Linked DNA regions of Styela clava. The protein of the gene in region 2 purifies or fractionates together with the protein of the main gene of each other region. This does not show direct contact. Links are inferred from orthologs where the notes say so. Each region holds a gene or a part of one and is shown on either strand. Other genes may lie near its edges. The genes, in order: histone deacetylase 1-like and lysine-specific demethylase 5A-like.

What was found.
Region 1: the proteins of lysine-specific demethylase 5A-like (region 2) and histone deacetylase 1-like purify together in Drosophila melanogaster (affinity purification with western blotting; 3 studies listed by BioGRID, with this or other methods). This does not show direct contact. The link is inferred for Styela clava from reciprocal best matches to the Drosophila melanogaster genes Kdm5 and HDAC1.

Annotation. Positions count from the first base shown.
Region 1 is NC_135257.1:9,276,124-9,283,771, reverse strand, and holds the start of histone deacetylase 1-like, read right to left. Parts: upstream 3,280-7,648; 5' UTR 3,169-3,279; coding exon 3,120-3,168; intron 2,535-3,119; coding exon 2,422-2,534; intron 2,018-2,421; coding exon 1,900-2,017; intron 1,088-1,899; coding exon 1,013-1,087; intron 629-1,012; coding exon 490-628; intron 225-489; coding exon 83-224; intron 1-82. Other genes in the region: transcription initiation factor TFIID subunit 1-like, read right to left, coding at 6,301-7,648. UniProt on the Drosophila melanogaster protein: Catalyzes the deacetylation of lysine residues on the N-terminal part of the core histones (H2A, H2B, H3 and H4).
Region 2 is NC_135263.1:18,251,977-18,260,136, forward strand, and holds the start of lysine-specific demethylase 5A-like, read right to left. Parts: upstream 3,159-8,160; 5' UTR 3,109-3,158; coding exon 1-3,108. Other genes in the region: DNA-directed RNA polymerase II subunit RPB3-like, read left to right, coding at 5,059-5,181, 6,240-6,365, 6,586-6,714, 6,987-7,116, 7,205-7,358, 7,431-7,602; uncharacterized protein LOC120341062, read right to left, coding at 7,627-7,972, 8,079-8,152. UniProt on the Drosophila melanogaster protein: Histone demethylase that specifically demethylates 'Lys-4' of histone H3, thereby playing a central role in histone code. Does not demethylate histone H3 'Lys-9', H3 'Lys-27', H3 'Lys-36', H3 'Lys-79' or H4 'Lys-20'.

The DNA.
Region 1 (7,648 bases), on a different chromosome or scaffold from region 2:
ATTTTAAACTTTCACTAGAACTGATTACAAATCATGCATTACAATGCGCAATACAAAGTATAAGCATAAAATCTATACTAACCCTGAGATCGCCTGTGCCTGGAAAGTATTCACCATACTTATGGAATGAAACTGTCATAACTCTATCAGTTGTATAAAAGGCTTCTTCCACACCATCACCATGATGAATATCAATATCAATGTATAAAACACGTTGATGATACCTATACACAATATTTTTTGTCTCAGTATATTCTTACACATAAAACAAAATTGGTATTCTGAAACTCTTGATTTCAATTCATTTTAATTTTGAATATTCTAAAATCTAAATAGATCACTTTTATTTTATTTGACTGTGATTTCAACAAAAAAAAATGAAATTTAGATAATTTGGTTACAGTTTGAATTTGATTACCGTACTCTCATTAAAATTATTGTTTCAATAATAATCTCTAAAAATCAACAATTCATATTCACTACACTCACTTTAGAAGTTCTAATATAGCAAGCACAATATCGTTAACATAACAAAAACCAGAAGCTTCTGATTTTTTAGCATGATGAAGTCCACCTCCCCAGTTGATTGCAATATCAGTTTGCTGCTTGTTAATTTTGACAGCTCCAGCTATAAAAATACCAGACAGAATATTAGATGAAAGACTTGGTATATTGAACTTATCTTATAACTTATCGTATAAATATCTCCTTTTTGAATAAAGTACAAGCACTCGCTGAATGATGAGAAAACACAATGGTGAGAAGCTGGTGATGCCTAGAAATTTTTTTCAGTCTGAAAAGCTTTTACATTCAGGGTGAGATTTGGCCTTAAATTAAATAATGTGTTGATTGAGCTAGATTTATTCAAAACCAGTGATGCCAATATAGTTATTCCAATACAACCACTTTACTTTGTACACATCTTCATAACAAATCATCTAATATAGGACTTATTATTCTGCTCTAATATGCTATGATACTTGTATGTATATATATTACATATTAGACTTACCAATTGATCCACCACCAGATAACTGACAAAATTCATAAAGTCCATCGAAAACTGGACAATCTTCTCCGACATTAACTGAAAAAAAAATTTATCACACTTCTTGAAGCAATATCACAGGGTTTCAAATTATGCTTTCTTAGGTATAATTGTCCCAAAAATTCACAAAGCCACACACTACACCAGGGTCGACCAACCTTTTTGGCCGTCGGGCGACATTTAGTTTACTAATAATTGCGTGGGCCACTTAACATGGTAATTATGTTCTAGTTTTGTTACACTGACTAAAAGTTAATAAAAAACAAACAAAACCCTCGCACCAAACTTTCTCACTAATAAGAACAATAAAAAAACAAAGATACAGTAAAGTCAACAAAGTTTTTTCTACACATAGATATTTTAGTGTGAAGTTTGGCACTGTTTTCGCTAACAAGTTAGTAAATATTCGCTGAAATGAACGATGTAGCAATGCGAAGTGAATTTTCCATATGACTTTCAGAAATTAGTGATCTCACAGGGGATTTGACATGGTTCATCTGTGCCCAAGTGTGTAAGCTACTATTTATGTATCGATACCTTCCAGTTGATTTCGAATCAAAATGGCACTCATGGCTCGTTTGAAAGGGCTAGCAGAGCGCATTTCAGGAAAATTAACAAATTGTTTGTATCAAATCTTCATATTAACTACATCATTCTGAAAATGGAAGTTTTACTCAATTTTTTTTTATATTTAATTTCGAAAATACAGCGCGGGCCACTCAAAGCTCCTTGGTGGGCCACATGTAGACTGTGGGCCACAGGTAGGACGACCCTGCACTACACACTCAAAGATACAATATGATTAAAATTTAGTGTAGATGTATTATTAAATAGTCTTAGAAAATCCTTACATCTCTGCATTTGTTTTGTATATTCAGACATGTTGTCAGGTCTTATGCTGCGCAGAAATTTTATGTAATCATCACTGTGGTATTTTGTCATCTCATCGCTGTTGCATTTATGTGGTCGCTGTGAAATAGATTAAAGAATAAACAATGCACTGACTATGAATTTTATTAATTCACCATATTTTTGACCTGCAATTAGAGAAGCTTATGGCCACTGTATTATTGGGTTTGACAAATGGAAGGGGAGCCAAACATGGGTTACTGGTTGCAACACCCAAAATGCATTACACAAATAATGATTCCATTCATTGAAAAGTTTGAAATCCAATATTTTAATAATATAGGTACCTCAATATAAATTTGTTTCATTTTTTATATACAAGAGGAAAAATATTCAAACAAATATATCAAACTAAAAATATGATTCGTGAGGTTTTCGAAGTGACATTTTGTTTTAGCAATATTTTCAAATTCTATTTGGAGGCATATTTCTATAAATGTGAGTGTACAAAATTTTTAGCTTACAAAAATTTCCATTTTTCGATACAGTCCATAGTTTAAAAGTAGATTGTGGGTCATGCGTATTCGGTGTGGTTTCATTGGATGACCCTGGCCATAGTAGTAGTTTCCAACATCAGCTGTTCGAACAAAATTGATAAATGAAAATTAAATGGAATATTTGAAAACCATAACCAACCAGCGGTTACGTAAACCACCCTATGACAGCGAAGAGTCCAGCAATACTCTTGCACATAATTATAACCAACAGGATTCGAACCTGTGAACCCATGCAGGATAATCAGAGATGCGATGGCAAGCGTATTCCTAACACTTGGCATGATGTGTCATACTGCCGAGACAAGATTGTAGTTGCATTTCATATCGTATCAAAGAGACTAAAAGATCTGACAACGCAGTTTAATCATATTGAAAGCCACATCTTTTTGTCTGGACTCATTCTTCATGAGAATAGTTATTCCAGAAATAAACATTGGTTTCTGATCATTATGAATTAATATTTGGTAATGTTGTATATTTCCACTAAATACGACAAACGTATATCACACAGTCATCACAGTTTTAAAGTAAAAATGAAATAATGAACCAACATGGTAATTACTGCACGGGGCTCTACTGGCACACGTACCTCCGACAAAGCCAAGCGAAGTTATAAAAAGTGAATAGTTCAGCTATTACCTGGATAATTTTGGAAATATACTTACAATCATAATAATAGCAAACTTTTCTGTTTGTTGGATTCGTCAGCGCCATTCCTTCAACCGAAATACTTTAAAAACGAACAAATAATTCACGCAGAGACAGACGCGCAGACCACACCACAGCGACAATCGGAGGAAACTAAACGATATGTAGCGTTGCCAGATCGTAATATCAGCAGTGCTTTTGAGAGAGAGAGAGAGAGAGAGAACTTATTTATTTCGTCAAACCAGAAAACGATTAAATATATATGATAGCAAATTGAGAAAATTTAGTTTTTGATAGATGACTGGGTGGTAACGATACAACCATTTACGGTCATTTGAGTCAGTTATCACCCAAAACAAGCAAATTAACAAACAAATTAATAACACAGGTTCTGTTATACTTACGGTTATACCACACTCTCAATAAATATAACAAAAAAAACGATATACACTATGTGCAAAAAAAACAATATTTGATTATAGGAGAGATAAATTTGTCTATTCGGGATAAGGGAATTATTTGAATAAATTTTTTAAAGCAAATATTCCAAGAATTAAGAATTCTATACCAAATATATTATTATACTAGTTAATTAGTATATATATTAATCCACACATTCAATCTGTCCTGAATCTTTTTATGTGCATACACAAGTTAAAATATAAAAGATGAGTCACAATATCACAAAGAAAAGTTCCACAAGCAACAATAATATGTTGTGTGAAGTAAATCACAGTTTGACCGTAAATATGGTTTGACATATGAATTATGGGCATAACAGTAATACGATTTTTTTTATTTTTAATTCATTAGCTTGAAGAAAATATGGAACAACGGCATGGTTTGGAAATTTAGTTATCAATATTAAGTAGAACAAAAGCTAAAAACCTAATGAAAAAAAGTATTCTACTTATGTGATAGAGATCGAATATCGTATTTATATCGCTGGTTCGGGTACCGCAGTGAGAATATATACACATTTGATACGGATAATCATATATGACCAGTTGACGACCTATCGTTCGTTCATAGGCCTACATCATTTTACGACATACAAGTTGAAAATCTTTGATAGATTAGGATCAGGTCTGTTATAGTAAGGACATTGAACGCAAAATTTCAATCTGTTCATACAATTATTATCAGAAAATGAAAAGAGGCGCCAAAAGTTTTAAATACGGCAATAGCGGAAATGTTTCAAAACCGCAAAATGTTGGATAATCGATAAATATAGCATATAAACGAAGTGAAGTGAAAAAAAATATTGTACACACAAATTAAAACTTATATAATTTTATCAAACCATTCCTCTTTTTAATGAAGCATGAAGCTAAGATTAAACCAATTTAAGGAAATGGCAACAAATTCTGAAAGTTATAGGCCTACTGCCAATGTATTATTAAATAGTGCATAGAATATTCTAAAATGAAACTTCACATTTTGAATCTTCCTTATATTATAGTTAAGTCACGTGTTTCTTCAATTTTGATTATATCCAATTTGTCTTTGTGAGATCAATGTTTTTAAAGAAGTGCCTTGAAATTATGTTCAAAGTTCTTCTATTTCTGGTTGTAATTTAATGGAGCGGCTAGAGTTGTCCACTTTTTTAGTGGGAATTTTCCTGCATAGATCGTAATTATTGAGGTAAAGGTGAAAGTGCGACCATGAAAAACATCGCCAACATGTAATTCAAATTAATTTTAAATCACATAGCTTTTTGTTGATTGTACACATATTTTACCAATTTGCAATGAAGAAAACAATTAGCCTACATGAAAGGTCCCAGGATGAAAAAATTGTTTTTTGGAGGGGGAACCAATTTTTTTATAATGACATAATGCGACGCTAACTCGTGCCTTTTGCTCCAACCAAGGCGAGATAAAGACTGCTAGAAGACAATATCTTAAATAATCTCTCTACGGGCTTACTTCGCTGTTCAAGTTATATATATATAAGCAAGCATTTTCATCTATCTGGTTGGGGTATTCGGAGCAAGGATTATTATGTCTCATCACAAATGCCTCGAAATTGCATTAAACAGCTGAATATTTTAGAGGTGGGGCATGGCCTGGCTATGGCCACAAAGGGTCCTTCATTCACTCGATATATTTTACAACCATTTTGTGTTTTATTCAAGGATTCAGATGCCGGAATAAGCAACTGACGTTAGGTTAACATTAAAAAACTAATATGATAAGATTTACATATTTATCCCAGGGGAGAGGAAGGCCGCTAGTCCGATTACCAGTTCATGTCGGATATGGGATTAGTTAGTTATTTGTTTTCGGACGCATGGGCTTGGTGGTAGAGGAAACCGTAACTGACCAGCCTTACGTGAACCCCCCTACGTTGACGAGTAGTCCAGCAATCCTCTCGCACATAACTATCCCCGCATGGGATTCGAAAATGCGAACCCACGCAGAGTAATCAGATGTGCGGATGGGGGTCCAGTACGCCAGATAATTTCTTTGATAAGATTGTCTCTGTGTGCCCATTCGTAAGATAACGAGCATTAGTGTTTAAAATCCTACTAAAGACATCACTCGTTTCCCCCAATATTGGTGCTAATTGTATGCAAGTGTGCGTTCTATTTCAAGTAGTCAAAGTAATCTTAGCGTCATAAAATACTAAGTTGACAGTTCGAGATTGACACTGGCGGTTGGTACCTGTTCTTACATCATGCAATTTATAGAAATACGTTTGCCATCGCACCTCTTATTACTTTGCGTGGGCTCGAATCCCGTGGGGTTATATCGTGCCAGAGGACTGAATTTCCTACAGCCGTTGAGCGAGTGCTTCACTATACTAACGGTTGGTTACGTCTTCCTCCACCAAGTCCTTGCATCTGCAACAAAGAATGTGAGGTGTGGAACGCCAATGGCATATGATACAAACGTCTGCAATAGCCTGATATTGCCACTATACCGCCATTGCCTGAGATTAATATGGAATTCCCTAATGATATTGAGCAGGGTAACAAATGAAAATGCACTTCGAATTTGAACTATAATCATTTGTCATAATATGGCATTGGGCTTTTGAAACTTTTTTGATATTTCCCCAAAAGACATTTTCATCATTCTTCACATAATATTACGGTAGATACAAACAAAATACTTTGTTAAGTGTTCATTTTTAGATACAAAATGATTAGATTTCTTGGTGAAAAATATAATAATTAAGAATAGGACATAATATTTAGGTTTCAGAGAGTTCACTTTCGCTGACAACTTCTCCACCGACAGATACAAAACTGCCAGCTTCGCTATCCTCGCCTTCTGAACTCAGAGTCAATGATTGTTTTTTAGTTGAACTTTTGTTTTTACTTCTGAAATCAGAGGGAACATCCATTGCATTGTCTGGGGCACTATCTCTGATAACTTCATCTTGATGAACTGTTGTTGAGTATTTTTGGAATCTTTCCTTCATTTGATCATCATCACTGCCCTCACTTTCAGATCTTGCAAATGGATTTGCTTCGTCTTCATCTTCACTATTGCCTTCCTCATCCTCACTTGCAGACATTTCTCCATCCGACATCAGCAAATCTTCCAAAAGCAGACTCTTGCCTTCTTGGGCCTCGATGCCATCAGCTGTGTTAGAGTCGTTTTGAGTTCCGAGAGCTTGAGCTGCAGCGACTGAAACAAAATCATTCGATGAAGTGGGAACATCACTTTCCACATCTATTTTTTCATCTTCCATGTCGGTGAACATGGTATTACTCTTACTGTCATCTTGCTGCATTGCAGTGAAGGAGGAGTTACTATCTTCATCCACACCAATGTCCATGCTGTTTTCATCCATGACAACGTCGTCATCAGCTCCAGCCTCTGCTTCCTCTTCTGCCGCTTTCTTTGCAGCAGCAATATCATTTTCTAGCTGTGTTAAATGCTCATCATATTCCTCGAGTGTATTTCTGCAAACATCAACGATTTGTCGAGCAGTTTCAGTAAATTTTGATTCAGCGCCATTGAATTTTGAGCTGTTAATTAAAATAAGCTCAACATGTTCCATAAACTGTCCTCTATTTTGATACATATGTTTCTGAACATTCTTTTTCAGTGTGCCGAGATCCATTGGATGATCAACAACTTTGTAATAATCCGGCACAATTTTCTTATTGACAGGATTATGAAAAGGCCATGAATCTGAAATGGTCATCATTTTATTACTGATTATATTATCAAGAACAAAACTGAAAGAAACTTGGTCATCGTCATCAAGCAGAGGATTTATTGCTTTCTCCAGGCGCATCAATTTATCTTCCAAATCTTTGAATCTTGAGTCACAATAATCAGTCATATGAATAGCAGTCTTTGTTAATGGACTGTCTACACCATTATAAATTTTAGAATTGTTGACAATCAGATCTAAATGTTCTTTAAAATCTGCTCTAGATAAATATGAATGTTTATGAAGGTGATCTCTCATTGTTTGTAAATCCATTGGTTTTTCAATGATTTTGTAATAATCTTTGACCGCTCTTGGATTCACAGGGCAATGAAAAGGATGAGTTGATGGAAGTTCACGCAAACCATTAAGTACA
Region 2 (8,160 bases):
AACTTCTGCTGTTTTTAGACTGCCTTTTTCCTTCATTTCGAGAAAGCTTTTAGCCTTATCCTCCCATGCTTCTGAAAGATTGAGAAGTTCCTGCAACTCAGCCATTGCACGTTCAACAGCAGGCCTAGGTGACACAGACACTCCAGAATCTATCAACTTCCTTAATTGCTCCAATGTTATCAATGATGGTGGAGGATCACAATCATTTATTTCATCGTCCAAAAGGAGACAAGATCTGACTTCTTCTAACCACTTTGCTTGTTGTAGTGCGTGGTGTAGTAACGTCACCTGTGGAAGTTCCAGATCAAAATCTAGTGAATCCTCTATCAAAACAGCAATGTTATGACTGCAAGGTTCTTCCTCTTGCAGAATAATTTCAGTTTGAGTAACAAATTTTTCAATTCGCTTTATATAATCAGAAACCTGATCCAAGTTTGGAATTGTGCATGGTAAACCTAATAGTTGTAGATAAAAAGCCCTTATTTCTTCCAGCGTCAATAAACAAGTATTTGGATGAGTTATAATACCAGCTGTGGAATGAATTTCTTTTTGCCTAGTCCTGTGCTTTCTAACCACAACAAGCTGTTGGGCAACTCGTGAACACTTTTCGGCTTCCCGTACAGCTGACTGCAATTGATGCAGCAAATCATTTTCTGGAAATTTCCCTTGCACAGCTTCTTCAAGCAATTCTTTCAATTCGTGTAATGTATACTTGTTTTCAAATCTTGAAAACGCATCGCCTAATTTTGTAGTCCATGTATCAAAAGACTCCGCTCGCAATTTCATCTTATGAAGCAATGGAGGTAATTCATCCAATGTGTATCTATATCGAAGTATAAATTTACTTGGATCACAAGTGCTGCAGAGCCTGTTGACATGGAACGTACAGACAAGGTGATCTGGTCTACATGGGCATGTAATTGCGGACAAAAAGCATGCTGTTTTGCAGATGAAACACTGACGTTCATCATCGGGTACAACCTCAAAAGCTTCCCTTTCAGCTTGACATACACCAAGCTCATGAAGTTTCTTTCTTGCTTCTCTTTCCTCTTGCAGCATAGCAAGCATATCTCTGTAAACAGCAGCTGCAAGTTGAACATCTAAAACGTCAGGATTATTGGCGACTTTACATAAAATTTCTTCGTGTGAAAACACACATGCTCTTTTTACTGCGCGATAGTGAGCAACAGATTGTCTGCCAATAGGTATCCAATCAGCTGGACAAAAGTTCACGGCTTCTGCAAAGTTATATCCCTGATTAAAACCTGCATGATATGCCCTGGGGAAGGTAACAATGAATTCACCCGCACATTGGTTAGTTCGGACAACTCGCACACCATTGTTCATCAGAGTTGAAGGATTGATAGTGGTTACAAGATGATGCATAACATCAGGGTGGTTCTTGAATAGGTCAGGTGCGGTATTTTGCATTACTTCTTCCAGTTTGATTGCATCTTCTCTTGGAACACCATACCAAGTCTTTGGTTCTCCCCAGTGAAGATAATTGATAGAATATGTCCAATGATCTTCAATGTGCCAACAAAAAGCAGAGAAGCACATACCGACATAAACCCATGGTATTTTCATTCCTGACATGTCACCAGTCATATAACTTAGTAATGATTGTTTCGCAACTGGTAGATTGTTTAAATTCCATCCACTTTTTGCATAATCCTCTTCTTCAGCAGAAAGTGGATGTTTCTCTTTGTCGCACATTCTAGGAAATCCACTTCCGTGATTAAGAACATGAATATCGGCGCCATACTCCACTGCAACATCCTCTTCTATTGATCCAATTAATCTCCAGAATTCTCTTTCAACCAACTCAGTGGGGATCATGTGAACAGGTTTTGTAAAATATTCTGACTTAAAAGCATCAGCCATTTCTCCAAAACTTTGTAGTGTGTATTGCTTTCTTGCTTGTTCAAAACCATAAGCGTCTATGACTTTGTTGCATTCTTTAGACAAGCATTTTGGACATCGCCAATCCCCTTTGGGAACTTGGTTCAATGGTGGAATCAGACAGTAGGTATGGTAACTGTCATCACATCCATCACAGAGTAAAAGTTGAGTGTCATTGTGATCCTTCAGACAAACTTTACAATTACCCATTGTATCAAGAATGGAGTATGGGAGCTGTTCTGAACCCTTCTTTCGTGTGTTTATTGAGGTTGTGTCAACTGTTGCGGTAGGAATTGCAGTTTCTGGCTTTATCTTAGTTTCTATTTCCCCGTTGTAATCCATCAAATCAAATATATTTTTGCAATCCTCATTCTTCGGTTCTATTTTGATAGTAGCGGGTGCAGGTTCACTTTTAATTTCTTTTTTATTTGCCTCTTCTGATTTTATTCGATTTCTTCTCTTAGCAATTAATCCCAGGCCTACCATTTTTGGGCCTGCACCAAAAAGCTGCAATTTGGCAAGTTCTTTGTTATTTGATACGTCTACAACAAGAGATGGATCATCTATAGTTCTTCTTTTATTTTTCTGGCGGGCAGCTTCACTTTCATCTTCTTGCTCTCTCTGTGGTTTTACCTTGCTATTCCCTCCATATCTTCCTGAAAAACTTGGAAGTGGTTTCCCAGAGCCATCAAGGCTCTCAAGAAGAACGCCAGAAACCATTATGTCATATGGATACAGCAATCTTTCATAATGTTGTTTTATTGTTGCAGAAAAATTTTTTGCAACTCCTAACTTTACACATGCGGCATTCCATTGGCGGTTCTTGCAGACTTCTTCAAATCCCCCCAATTTCCTTACGGTCTCATGGAGACCATACAAATCTAAAGGAGAGCCGGCAATGTGTGGCAGTCTGAATGTAGTACCCTGTAATTCCCAAAACTTAGCTACTTTCTGAATGAATTGAAGTCGAATCCGAGTTTGAATACCTAATTCATTAAGTCTCTGTATTCTCGGTGTAAATTTGAAATTTTCTACGTCAATAGCAAATGGGGGTTGCCAATAAGGTGGAGGCCGTATTTTACAAATGCCTGCTTTTTCTGCTATAGGTCTGATCTTAGCAATGTATCCAAGTGGATGAGCAAATTCTTCTTCGTTTGGCTCAAAAACTGGAGCCTCTGGAGGAGGAAAGAATTCATCATCAAACATATTGAATTTTTACATACAGCAGCTTATTAAGATCTTTAAATATGAAAACAAAATTCAGAAAAATTAATATGGATCTAATTAGATAGAATATACATATTCATCCCGGGGGAGAGGAAAGTACAGCCTAATCATATGGCGAAGCATGGCCTCTCATTAAGTTACCAGTCCATGTCGGGATGGGATTAGTTAGCCAGTTATTAGTTTTCGGAAGCAAGGACTTGATGGTGGAGGAGGCAGTAACCGACCAGCGGTTATATGAACACCCTATGGCGGCGAGGAGTCCGGAAACCGTTTGCACATAACTAACCCTGCATGAGATCGGAACCCACGAACAGTAATCAGAGGTGCGGTGACAAGCATATTCCTAACACTTAGCATGATGCGCCACACCGCCGAGCCGGGAAGAGATATTTCAATTTCCTTAGCATGTCAATTGAAAAACAAAATCATTTGGTTGAGTTGTAATTCTGTTGTGTATTTGCACAATCTTGTACATAAATTAAGAATTTGATCACATTGAGAAGATATCAAAATGCTTTACTAAAAATTTAAATTGTCAATACATCATTTGCATTGAATATCATGTACCGGTAGGCTTACCGGTAAATAGTTTTATGTTTTTGTATATTTCCATGAGACAACTTCGCTTTGAATAAAGCCGGAAAAATATTCAACCATCACTGTCATCAAATATTCTTACAACTTCAATTTATTGGAACAAAGATTATTCAATTTAGTGATATTTAAAAATGATCATTCATCCTGATATGTTGATTTGGCTAACTAGCAGAAGCCTAAATAAGGAGCTTACAAAGTGGGACAAGGTATCTGATCCAATCACAGAAATACTTTTTTCATCTGTAGTTTATTAATTTTTATGTGTTGACATGATTCGGGTTGTAAACATTCCATTTTACACCAAATTTTAGTAAATTTGACAAGAATTACCAAGATGGAATTGGTACACCAGTCATGAGGAAAGCAAATTTTTATTAAAATCAACGAACTCCTGAATTTGTTTGATTAAGATTATAATTGACTAATATTACGAATGATTATGCCTAAACTCAACCCAATTCTAAACTCAAAATTTCAAAGTACTGAAGTATAAGGGTGGTCTGTGTTTATCATCCTTCATGCTGGTTAATATTATAAAAATGTTTTACTTTTGCACTGCTGAGGCAGGTATTTAAGAGCAAATTTCATACTAGATAATAAGGAAGCAACAATTTCAGTATATACAGCTAAACGAAGGCGATAAATTCAGAAATCTCAGTACCCCGTATAGCATTTTTACGCTTCCTTAACGACTGACTGAACGGCGTCGGAAAATCGTAGATGAATTTAAATACACATCACACAGTCACAACATCGCCGTATATAAAGGATCTCACGAGAGAACGCGCACAATCAGATTGCATACCTTTTAAACTTAAACATTCCAAAAACTTTATTTAATTCAACACAAAATTGTTGCGCGAAATGCAAAAAATCCAAACAGTTTTTAGATTCTCGCACACACAGACATATCGCCAAAATTGGATCTACTACATTATTATTTCTACGCTGATTTTCATACCAGGAAAAATCTGCCGAACGGTTATTTAATCCATGGCAAAAATATAACTTAAAATTATTCTAACTAAAATAAATTACCACACAGAAAGGAAAAATATTAGACGCACAAGACCCTGAGCACAATCCGTCGCCATTTTCGCTACGTGACCACTTGGTGTCCGTAAACACAAAGAAGAAAAAGGGCAATGACGCATTAAGATGAGAAAAAAGTTATTTCAGCAGAAAATAGAAAAAATGCAACCCGGCAAATTGTAATTATGTACGAATTTTGCATTTGCTCTGTTCTTTCCAGGGGCGTATATTGAGGGGTTCGATTGTGTGCTTTTTTATTATTCTGGGTTTAGCGCTGACAAATCGAAGACAAACAATACAATGCCTTACGCCAATCAGCCTACAATCGCAATCACGGAACTTACGAAAGACAATGTGAAATTTGTTATTGAAGATACAGATCTCAGTGTTGCAAATTCACTCCGCCGGGTATTTATTGCAGAGGTGAGAATTTCTGATACCGGTAACCGAGAGGAACAGGATGGAGAACCCGGAGAGTTGGCTAAACCAAAGTTGGGTTCGCAGGTTCGAATCCCATGCAGGGATGGTTATGTGCGAGAGGATTGCTGGACTCCTCGCCGTCGTTGGGTGGTTCACGTAACCGCTGGTCGGTTACGACTTCCTCCACCACCAAGTCCATGCTTCCGAAAACAAACAATATAACTAATCCCATACCCGACTTGGAATGGTAACCGGACGAGAGGCCGTGGTTCGCCATATGGATAAGCCGTCTTTTCGGTTTTCCTCTCCCCCGGGATAAATATGTAAATCCTATCCTATCCTAAACTTGATATGAGTTTTGAACATGCCACATAAATGCACTAACGTGATGTAGGCAATTCAATATGAAAAAGCTGTCTTATCGACTATCCTCTCCCCCTGGATAAATTTTGAAGTCCTATCTTGTTGTAACATAGAACGACTTAGAGATACCGTACTCCGACACAGTCTTTAAGGGTATACCGGTACCCTAGCTGCTGAATTACCTTATTTTTTTATTGCCCATATCGGAAGCCGTGGAGCCACCCTTTTCTGGCGAGGAGTCTAGAAATCCTCTTGCACATAATTATCTCCCACAGGATAATCAGAGGTGCGGTGGCGAGCGAATTTCTAATACTTAGCACAATAAATCACATTGTCTAGTCATACCCGACACTCGCTTTCTATTTGCTTCCATGGCCATTACAGTCGTCAACTCCTAAGCTATCCCAGAGTCATCCTCAACTTTTAACCTTTGCACATTTTAATAACTCATTCATTAATAACTTCATTCTTCTACCTGTACGCATGCATGAAATACAAATGTCTATAAGCATGGCATAGACTCAACAATAAAGATTACTAGAGTTCATGTTTCAATCTTATGAACTGGACTATCGGTGAATTAAAAAGTAGTGAAGTGTTATCCATTCTAATATTCTATATGAGACATGTTTCTTTGAAAAATTGTTTGTTTGTTGTGACTGCCCGCCTCACATTACTCTATTTAAATATATTTTAAGGTTCCCACACTTGCGATTGACTGGATTCAAATTGAGGAAAATTCTTCAGTATTGAATGATGAGTTTTTATCACATAGGATTGGATTGATTCCATTAACATCCGATGAGATAGTGGACAAAATTCAGGTAAATAGCAATAAGTAAAATTCAACCAAGCATATTTGAACGGGACCTATAGCCAGCCCATGCGATTAGGTCATTTTGTCTGTTCTCTATCTCTCATTGTTCCTCATTCTATGTATCATACCTGGTTAGTTGATGTACTACGGTAATTAATACATAAGATTATTCAAACCAAAGTGATCATTTTTTATTTTACTGAAGAACGTATTTATCCTGATTTCAGTACTCAAGAGATTGTATGTGCGATGAATTCTGCCCAGAATGTTCAGTGGAATTTTATCTCGATGTCAAATGTACAAGTGAAAGCACGCGACAAGTTACTACTCGTGATTTAATATCCATGAATCCAAAGGTAAAATGGTATTCTTGAAATCAAAATTATCCATTAGATGCTATTTTTTTATTTTATTTATTCTGCAGTTTCATGAGAAATACACATTTATTTATTATGGAATGAACAAACACTATCTGACTTTTCTACCCAATGTCTCGGTCATAATCATATCCAAATATTTTTTTCCAGTTTAAAACATTCCCATTATTTTGCTGGCTAATAGTGATTGCATAAAACATAAACATTTTGTGTAACAAATGAATTGAATGCCGTTTGCATGTTAAACTAAGGTTGTTCCAGTTACATCGAGAAGTAGAGGAGACGAGGTTGAAAATTATGGAGAACAAGATGACATACTGATTGTTAAATTAAGAAAAGGACAATGCCTAAAATTCAAAGCTTATGCTAAAAAGGGATTTGGTAAGCGGGTTTCTTAATGTCTGTCTACTGTATAATGCTTTCGATGAGAAACATTCGTTGGATAAATGAAACTTCAATATAAATATAGGAAAGGAACATGCTAAATGGCAAACAGTTTGTGCATGTGCTTTCGAATATGACCCAGATAACGCACTTCGTCACACAACTTATCCAAAACCCGAAGAATGGCCTAGGAGCGAACACAGTGATCTCACAGATGATGATGATAGACATCAAGCAGAGTAAGTTGTCGTGGCTTGGTTTTATTAAAACCACAATGAGCTACAGTAGCCATTAAATTTATTTTTGTTCAGATTTGATCCGAATGGCAAAGCAAACAAATTTTTCGTCAATGTGGAATCTACAGGAGCCATAAAACCAGAGAACATCATTCTGTCAGGGCTCTCTGTTCTTAAGAAAAAGCTCAGTGACCTCCAAACACAGCTAAGCCATGAACTGCAGCAAGATGGACTAACTATCGCATGATGATGCTGAGAAACGATCTTTTGGTCATAAAGTACCACCACCTTCTGCATCACTAGTTTGTCTGGCTTCAGGTGGATCTACATAGTTGAACATTTTAGGACCAATTTTTTCCAGATGATTTCTGCCACGTTGTCGCCAGAGTTTTTGACACATTTGTAATTTGATACATCGTCTGGCTGAACAGTTGTTGCACATCCTGTACCCATCTACAACTTTCCACTGCTCTTGTTTTAATTCTGGTGCAAGGACATTTTCGTTCTCGGGATTTTCCAATCGTTTGAAGATGATGAGTTCACCATTACTTTTTAAATGTGTCCCACCTATGTCCTCTTTAGTTGGGAGGCCATTTGGAAATTGAATTGGATGAATTCTGAAAATTTGATGGTACTTAGCAAGTTAGCATACGACAATAGTCTGTATTATTTGGCCTTCCTAATTGAATTTACCACCACGAGAACTGAGCAAAATCATAATACCTGATTAAATGTTTGACCTGCCAAAGTTTCTCATTATTATTTGCTGTGTTCATCTGCACTGAAATGTCATTTACCTGTGAAG